2 linked regions of the Oryctolagus cuniculus genome follow. The protein of the gene in region 1 interacts with the protein of each later gene in a biochemical or structural test. Links are inferred from orthologs where the notes say so. Each region holds a gene or a part of one and is shown in the gene's direction. Other genes may lie near its edges.

The links.
Region 2: of the proteins of MAPT (region 1) and PTPA, one has a biochemical effect on the other in vitro, tested with the Homo sapiens proteins (2 studies listed by BioGRID). The link is inferred for Oryctolagus cuniculus from reciprocal best matches to the Homo sapiens genes MAPT and PTPA.

The regions. Positions count from the first base shown.
Region 1 is NC_091448.1:17,253,865-17,257,387, reverse strand, and holds part of MAPT (microtubule-associated protein tau), read left to right. Parts: intron 1-1,066; coding exon 1,067-1,132; intron 1,133-3,168; coding exon 3,169-3,523. UniProt on the Homo sapiens protein: Promotes microtubule assembly and stability, and might be involved in the establishment and maintenance of neuronal polarity.
Region 2 is NC_091432.1:232,229,439-232,233,447, forward strand, and holds the start of PTPA (serine/threonine-protein phosphatase 2A activator), read left to right. Parts: upstream 1-1,189; 5' UTR 1,190-1,275; coding exon 1,276-1,306; intron 1,307-4,009. Other genes in the region: CRAT (carnitine O-acetyltransferase), read right to left, coding at 126-152. UniProt on the Homo sapiens protein: PPIases accelerate the folding of proteins. It catalyzes the cis-trans isomerization of proline imidic peptide bonds in oligopeptides. Acts as a regulatory subunit for serine/threonine-protein phosphatase 2A (PP2A).

The DNA.
Region 1 (3,523 bases):
CAGTGGGGTGGGGTGGGAGCCTGCGTACTGGGGTCAGCTCTCAGCCACAGTGGCGGCAGATCCCGTCCCGTCGGTGGTGCCCCCGTTGGGTCAGTGCGGCTGCCCGTGCGGCAGGCCTGCCTCGCTGGACAGCGGGGAGTGGCCCTCAGCCGTGCGCTGCCCAGCCGGAGCCGACCTTCCGCCTCCCTTCCTGTCTCCGAGCGCCCCTCACCGGGGCAGCAGCTTTCAATTGCAGGCCAGGCTGTGGCTCTTCCATGAAGGTGGGTTAGCTCTCCCCACCTCTTGGCAGGGACACAGGAATGCCACCATTTAGCTGGCCTTGCTGTCACCCCGCACCTCTCTCCTGTTCCTGTAACCTTGTTGGAAACTTGGTCCACACCCGCCAGGCACTGTGCTCTTGGGCACTTGGCCCAGCTTCTTCTTGGTGCTATTCTCAGATGCCCAGGCTGTCGCTGTCACCTTGTAGGCAGCACGGTGTTGGCTGCAGGGACCCCCAGGCAGGTCTTGCCCATGAGCCCACCCGCACCATGGCAGCCCCGGGACAGCCGCCAGGCTGGGCGTCCGTGCGGTCACTGTGTAGCTGTCTCGTGACTCAAAGACCCTTGCTTGTGCGTCATGCGTGCTCTCCGCCGAGGTGGTGGCCTGGCGCCTGTGTTTTAGCAGAGGTGGGGTCGTGGCAGGTGTGGGGGCCCAGCTGGCTGCCCCCCCACCACCACCACCTGCTGCAGCCACGGCCTCTCTCTCCCTGGACCCGCCACCTTCCCGGCACTCTGCGGGCCGGGCAGCAAAGCGTTCCTCTAACTGCGTGCATCCTGTGCGTCCTGGTGCAGTGAGGCCCGGACTGCAGGGAAGGCGCAGTCACCCGTCAGGTGCGCGGGTGTCATGGCTCGTGTCCGGTGAACCCTTGTCCCCGCCGTCCCCTGTGGTAACGTCTGCAGAGGAACCCAGGCTCGTAGGGCGCGCCCTCCCCGCGCGCTTTAGAAGTGTGCCGGAGGCCCGGGGCCTGCTGAGTGCAGTCAGTAACTCTCTCTGCTTTCGTCTCCTCACTTGCCGACGCGGGCACCAGCTGAAGAAGCCGGCGTGGGAGACACCCCCAACCTGGAAGACCAAGCTGCGGGACATGTGACTCAAGGTCAGTGTGCCACAGTCAAGGTCAGTGCGCCACAGGTGCCGGCGCAGCCGGGGGCTGGGAGCAGGGCAGAGGGAGCACTGGGGGGTAGGGAGGAGTCTGCTCGTTCCAAGGTGTTCAGTGTCCTGCGGGAAGCTGGCCCTGCCCGGGCAGGGAGCTGAGAAGGAGTGGCCGCGGTGAGGCGAGTGTGAGTGCCCACAGGTCTGTCCCCGAGCAGCACCTCCTCCGCGTGGTCACTGCCCAGGCCTGGTCCTGTGCGGCCTCCAGACCATCATCCGGGTCTCTTCTGTGTTCCAGAAAAGCGGGTTTTCTGTAACCATTTGTCACAGGCATTTCCAGACCTTTGGAAGTCTGAGAGCCTCCCGGGTTTAGGACATGGAGAGGTCAGAAAGAGATGGCCCTTGGGCTGGGTCTGTTCCCTGTCACCTGCCGGGCAGATGACCTTGGCCATCTCGCGGACAGTGTGGAAGCTTCCGGTGGCAGCGGAGCTGGGAAGACGCTGCTTACTCCGGAGAGTGCTAGGGATGTGCCGGCGTGCCCGGCGTGGAGGCCGCTCCTGGGCTATCTGGCTGTAGGAGGCGCTGCACCCACAGAGGGGTCCCAGGGGGTATGTTGAGGCTCAGTCTCCACCCCTGCTCCCAGAGGGGTCACTGCCCTCTGTGGGCTCATGGTTCTCTCGGCTGACATGTGAAGGCAGAGTGCTTTAAAAACGTTCTTAGGGTGTGAGTCCCTCAGGGGTCCCCGTCTGTGTGAGATTCTAGAATCCCGACTCCCGCTTCCTTGAGGTCGGGTTTTGAGCTTCGGTGAAAGTGGAGACCTCGTAAATATAACCTCTAGAAGTGGTCGCCTGTGCCCGGGTCTTAAAGAAGGGGAAGCGTTTTTCCCACAGATCTTTATTTATTGGAAAGGCAGAGAGACAGAGACAAAACACAGACGGACAGAGACCTTCTAATTGCTGGTCCACTCCCCCGGCCCCTGTGACAGCTGGGCTTGTGCCAGCCCACAGCCAGGAGGACTCAGGTCAGCCCGGGAGCTGGGCCTGGGGCAAGGGCAGAGGTGAAGCCGAGCTGAGGCGGCCTCCCCGCGGTGCCTGTGGCCCAACCGACTCCCGCGGGGTCCCCATGTCGCCCGTGTGTCCACGGCTGCGCCCGAGTGTTCTCCCACCTCTCCCTCATGTCTGAGCCCCTCCCTGCAAGTGCCTGAATCCTCTGGGGTCCAGGTCTGGCCTAGAGGCGAGCTGGGCAGGAGGACGGGTAGTCTCTTGGTAGCAGGTGAGATTCTGAGAGCTGGAGGCAGGAGAAATGCAGGTGGCTCAGTAGGGAAACTGAACCGCACAGGTCGCCTGTCCCTAACACACAGGTGGCGCTTGTTTGCGTGAGAAAGCTGGAGCCGGCTAGGTGGGCGTGCCGCGATGGTTTGGCCGGTCAGACCTGGCCCGGGATCTGCCCCACGCCGGGCCGTGCCAGCCTCGCGAGTGTGCTCCTGTTGGAAGGAATCCAACCGTGGCCAGTCCATTAATGGCCATCTTTGATCCTCACGCAGCTTGGAGCATCCAGTCTCCCAGAGCAGGCTCCGGGCATGGTGGGCAGCAGTGAGAGAGAGAGGGTGGAGAAGGGACCCGCCAGGTCCATGCAGGCGCCTCGGGGGACGCAGGTGCTCTGGGCTGGGGAGCAGCTCCTCTGGTGCCAGGGCACGGGGCACAGGGCAGCTCCAGAGATGGTGACGTCCCTGTGCCCAGCACAGGAGTGATGCCCATGCCGGAAGGGGCCTGGGAGGTCCCCAGGGCCGAGGTGAGGAACTGAGGCCCCGCAGAGGGGCAGTGCTCACGCAGTCACACAGGAAGTTGGTGGCAGGTGGACCCCTCATTGGTGCTGGCCTTTCAAGCACACAAGACCCCTGGATAAGCCCAGGGAGGGGCTCCTGCTTTGTTAGGCTGCGCTGTTTAAAACGCCCTTTCCCACGTCGCAGTCGGGTCCCCTCTCTTAAACACTGCACATGCCCTCGCTAACCTTGGACCACTGCTGCCTCTTCAAATCCAGAGGCGCTGAGAGTTGCCAGCTGGCAGAGGGCAGCACCTGGGCAGCCTGTGGGCCAGAAGCAGCCAGAAGCCTCGGCTGAGTTGGTCACACCCCTTCCTGAGCAGCATCCCGTCTTCCCAGAACCTCCTCCACCAGGAGGCCCTCAGGAGCTCCGCCAAGAGTGGGGACCAACACATGGGGACCTGGCCAAGGAGGGCCTGGCCTTTCCGAAGCCTGTGTCCCCCGGATCTCTGCAGAAGGGGCCTGAGATCATCAAGGCCCAGGAAAGCCTGGGCAGGGAGCTGGGGCTCCAAGGAGGCCAGGCCTCGGACCCAGGGCCCCCCAGCCTGATCTGCCAGGACGTGCCTGCCCTGTC
Region 2 (4,009 bases), on another chromosome or scaffold:
CCCCCTGCAGGCCCCGCCCCAGCCAGAGCCCCCGGCCGCGCCGCTCCCAGGCCCGCGCCCCGACCGGCGCAGTGGCGCAGCCGGCCCGGCCGGGGCCCTCCCGCCCGGACTCCGTCCGCACTCACCATGGTCCTGGCGGCAAAGGCTAACATCTTTGCTGTCTGCCCGCGGACGCGCAGGCCGCTCCGCCCACCAAACCGGGCAAAGTCCGCTTGGCTGCTGCGGCCGGTGGGTCCCCGCTAGAGCTTCAGGGCCAAGGTCGCCGAGTCACCGCCACCAGCCGGTAGAGGCGGCCCCGCGCCCACCCACCGGGCCGGTCGGGCGGCGGGCGGACGGCCCGGGGAGGACACCGGGGCGGGGCCTTGGTCACGGAGCCCCGGGCGGCTAGCCGCGAGCCCGGGGCGGGGCCACGGCAGGCGGGGGCGGGGCCAACAGCGGGCCCGGGGCGGGGCCACCTTGGGGAGGGGCCAATAGCGAGCCCAGGGCGGGGCCAACAGCGGGCTCGGGGCAGGGCCACTGCGGGGAGGGGCCAATAGCGAGCCCGGGGCGGGGCCACGGCAGGAGGGGCGGGGCCAACAGCGGGCTAGGGTGGGGCCACTGCGGGGCGGGGCCACGGCGGGCGGGGAGGCGAGCGGCGCGCAGCTAGCGGTTGTGCGACACCGTGGAGCGCTGGGGCTGAGGCAGAGGGGTAAGGCGAGGTCAGGGTTCAGCTCTTCCCCCCGCCTCCAAATGCCATTGAAGCTGTGCGCCCTCATAGGCGGCAGGAAGACACAGGGTGACGGGAATGTCCTCTGACATTCTTTAGATTAAGATGACAGCCGGGACCGGCTCCCAGAAACATGGCTGCTGCACCCCCCTTAACCCCTCCACAAAAACTTGACACCCGCGAAAGTACGGCTGCCGGGCGGGCCATTAGCGGTCGAGCAGCGGCCCGGCAGTTGGGGCGCAGTGCGCATGCTCCCGGGCGCCCCGCACTGACATGGCGGCCCCTCAGTGCGCATGCTCCGCAGGCGCCCCGCACTGACATGGCGGCCGCCCGTCGTCGCCGCGGCCGTCGCGAGCCGGCCGTTGCTGGGCATGCTCGCTGAGCGCCCGGCACCAGCATGGCGGTCGTCTCGGCGGGGGTGACTTTAATTCTCGGTTTTCGGTGATAGCAGACCGGCGCTCGTTGCTCTCCGGAAAACTCGGAGCCCGTGGCAGAGCCGGGGACCTGAAGAGCGGGTGCGGGGTGAACGCCGAGAGGGGACTGCGGGCGCCGCGCCGGCTCCGCGGAAGATGGCTGAGGGCGAGCGGCAGCCGCCGCCAGGTAGGGCCGTGGTGTGGGGCGCAGCCGGGAGGGGCTCGGGGGCGCGGGGCTCGGGGGCGCCGGCCGGGCGGCGGGGCTCGGGGGCGGCGGGTGCGGGGGCCTTCGGCGCGCCTGCCCCGGCGGAGGAGTTAGCCGGAGCCCGGCGGCTGCCCGGTTTATGAGCGCCGCTGGGGCCGGGGCCGGTCGCTGCCCTCCGCCCCCAGGCCCGGGGCCGGGCTCTGGGGTTTATGGAGAGAAACTGCCCCGGGTGTGCAAACCTCTCGTTTATAGGAAGGCGGGTTGAGCAAGACAGAGACTCGCCGCGGGCATCAGGGCCTCTGAGCTGTGTTTGCACTGGGGCCTCGGCCGGCGGGCTGGCCTTAGGGGACCCCGGCCTCGTGCGGGAGAGGGAGGTGGGCGGCCCGCGACCCCTGCCCGGCCTGGCATTCCCTGGGCGCTGCGAGAGGCCTCCGGAGGGCGAGGCGCCCCCCAGCTCCCCAGGAGGAGAGCGATAGACAGACCCGGGTCTGGGCTGTGCGGGCTCTGCAGGCTGGGGTCGCGGCTGCCTTGGGCCGAGCCCCCCGTGCAGGTGCAGCGCGGGCGGGAGGCCCCCAGGGCCCCGCACTGCCCGGAACGAGAGAGAACAGATTCTCCTGGACCCGGCTCTGCCGCGGTGGGGGCTCGGCGATGGGTCGCGGTCCGAGTCCCCGGGGGCTTGGGGAGCGTGTCTGCAGCTCGGGTCTCCGTCTGAGTGACTTCCAGGCCGTCCTGGAAGGACACAGGTTCCTGCCCCGGGAGTGTGCATTGAGGCATCTGAGGCGTTGGTCGGTGCAGGGCCTCCCGGAGGGCCTGGCCTGGACGTGTCCCCCCCGCCCCCCCACGCTGCTGGCCTTGCCCACAGGAGCCGTTCTCACGCCGGCCGAGACCGGAGGCCTCTGCCCCGCAGCGTTTGGAGCTGGGTGCGGGGGACGTGGAGCGCGTTTTCCCATAACAGCATCGTGCAGGTTACCGCCTGGCCTACAAAGCTTTTTATGTAGCATCCTGCCTGAAGTAGCAATTTACTAATAGTAGGGGCCTTAATTTGGGTTCTGGGAACAAGGTTTGCCGGCCAGGAGGCGGGGAGAGAGCTTCCGGTCCCTCTTGCTGGGGCCCTGGTGTGCCGGTGCCCTGCCCTTCTCCCACACGGGGTCCCCTCGGTCTCCCGGGTGTGCCTGTGCCCGGCCCTTCTCCCGCACGGGCCCCCTCTGTGTCCTGGGTGTGCCTGTGCCCGGCACTTCTCCCGCACGGGGTCCCCTCAGTGTCCCGGGTGTGCCTGTGCCCGGCCCTTCTCCCGCACGGGATCCCCTCGGTCTCCCGGGTGTGCCTGTGCCCTGCCCTTCTCCCGCACGGGGTCCCCTCGGTCTCCCGGGTGTGCCTGTGCCCTGCCCTTCTCCCGCACGGGGTCCCCTCGGTCTCCCGGGTGTGCCTGTGCCCTGCCCTTCTCCCGCACGGGGTCCCCTCGGTCTCCCGGGTGTGCCTGTGCCCTGCCCTTCTCCCGCACGGGGTCCCCTCGGTCTCCCGGGTGTGCCTGTGCCCTGCCCTTCTCCCGCACGGGGTCCCCTCGGTCTCCCGGGTGTGCCTGTGCCCTGCCCTTCTCCCGCACGGGGTCCCCTCGGTCTCCCGGGTGTGCCTGTGCCCGGCCCTTCTCCCGCACGGGGTCCCCTCGGTGTCCCGGGTGTGCCTGTGCCCGGCCCTTGTCCCGCACGGGGTCCCCTCTGTGTCCCGGGTGTGCCTGTGCCCGGCCCTTCTCCCGCATGGGGTCTGCTCTGTGTCCCGGGTGTGCCTGTGCCCGGCCCTTCTCCCGCACGGGGTCTCCTCTGTGTCCCGGGTGTGCCCGTGCCCGGCCCTTCTCCCGCACGGGGTCGCCATCGGTCTCCAGCGCGTCTAGTGTTTTTCCTTTCCTCATGGCCTCCCTGGAGCCCCAGGTGTCACATATTCCAGAACCTTCTTAGGTTGCTGTCTCTTTTTTCCGTGGTTGGTGTCATTTAGGTTTGAGGAGGAGGGTGGTGGAGCAGACTCCTGCACCTGTGTCTGGGGCCCTGTGCGCCCCTGCAGACGTGCGTCTTCGCAGGAAGTGCACTTCGCCAGCTGCAGACTCGGGCCACAGCTCCCTGTCCTCCCTGTGCAGAACCCGTGGGCCCAGCTGCACCCTGGGATTCGGCTTTTCCTGGTTCAGAAAGCAGCACCCCATCAGCACAGACGAGATTACCCGAGCCAGAGGTGCGCACATCTGCACAGTGAGGTGCCGGCGCTCCTCAGTGCTTCAGTCTCTGTGCCGAGTGAACGTGGGACAGACGCACTGAACACACTCTGTGCCGAGTGAACGTGGGACAGACGCACTGAACACACTCTGTGCCGAGTGAACGTGGGACAGACGCACTGAACACACTCTGTGCCGAGTGAACGTGGGACAGACGCACTGAACACACTCTGTGCCGAGTGAACGTGGGACAGACGCACTGAACACACTCTGTGCCGAGTGAACGTGGGACAGACGCGCTGAGCACACTCTGTGCCGAGTGAACGTGGGACAGACGCACTGAACACACTCTGTGCCGAGTGAACGTGGGACAGACGCGCTGAGCACACTCTGTGCCGAGTGAACGTGGGACAGACGCACTGAACACACTTTGGGCGTCAGAGCTTCTTGGACGTGGGGTTATGAATCAGGAGTTGAGGGCTTAT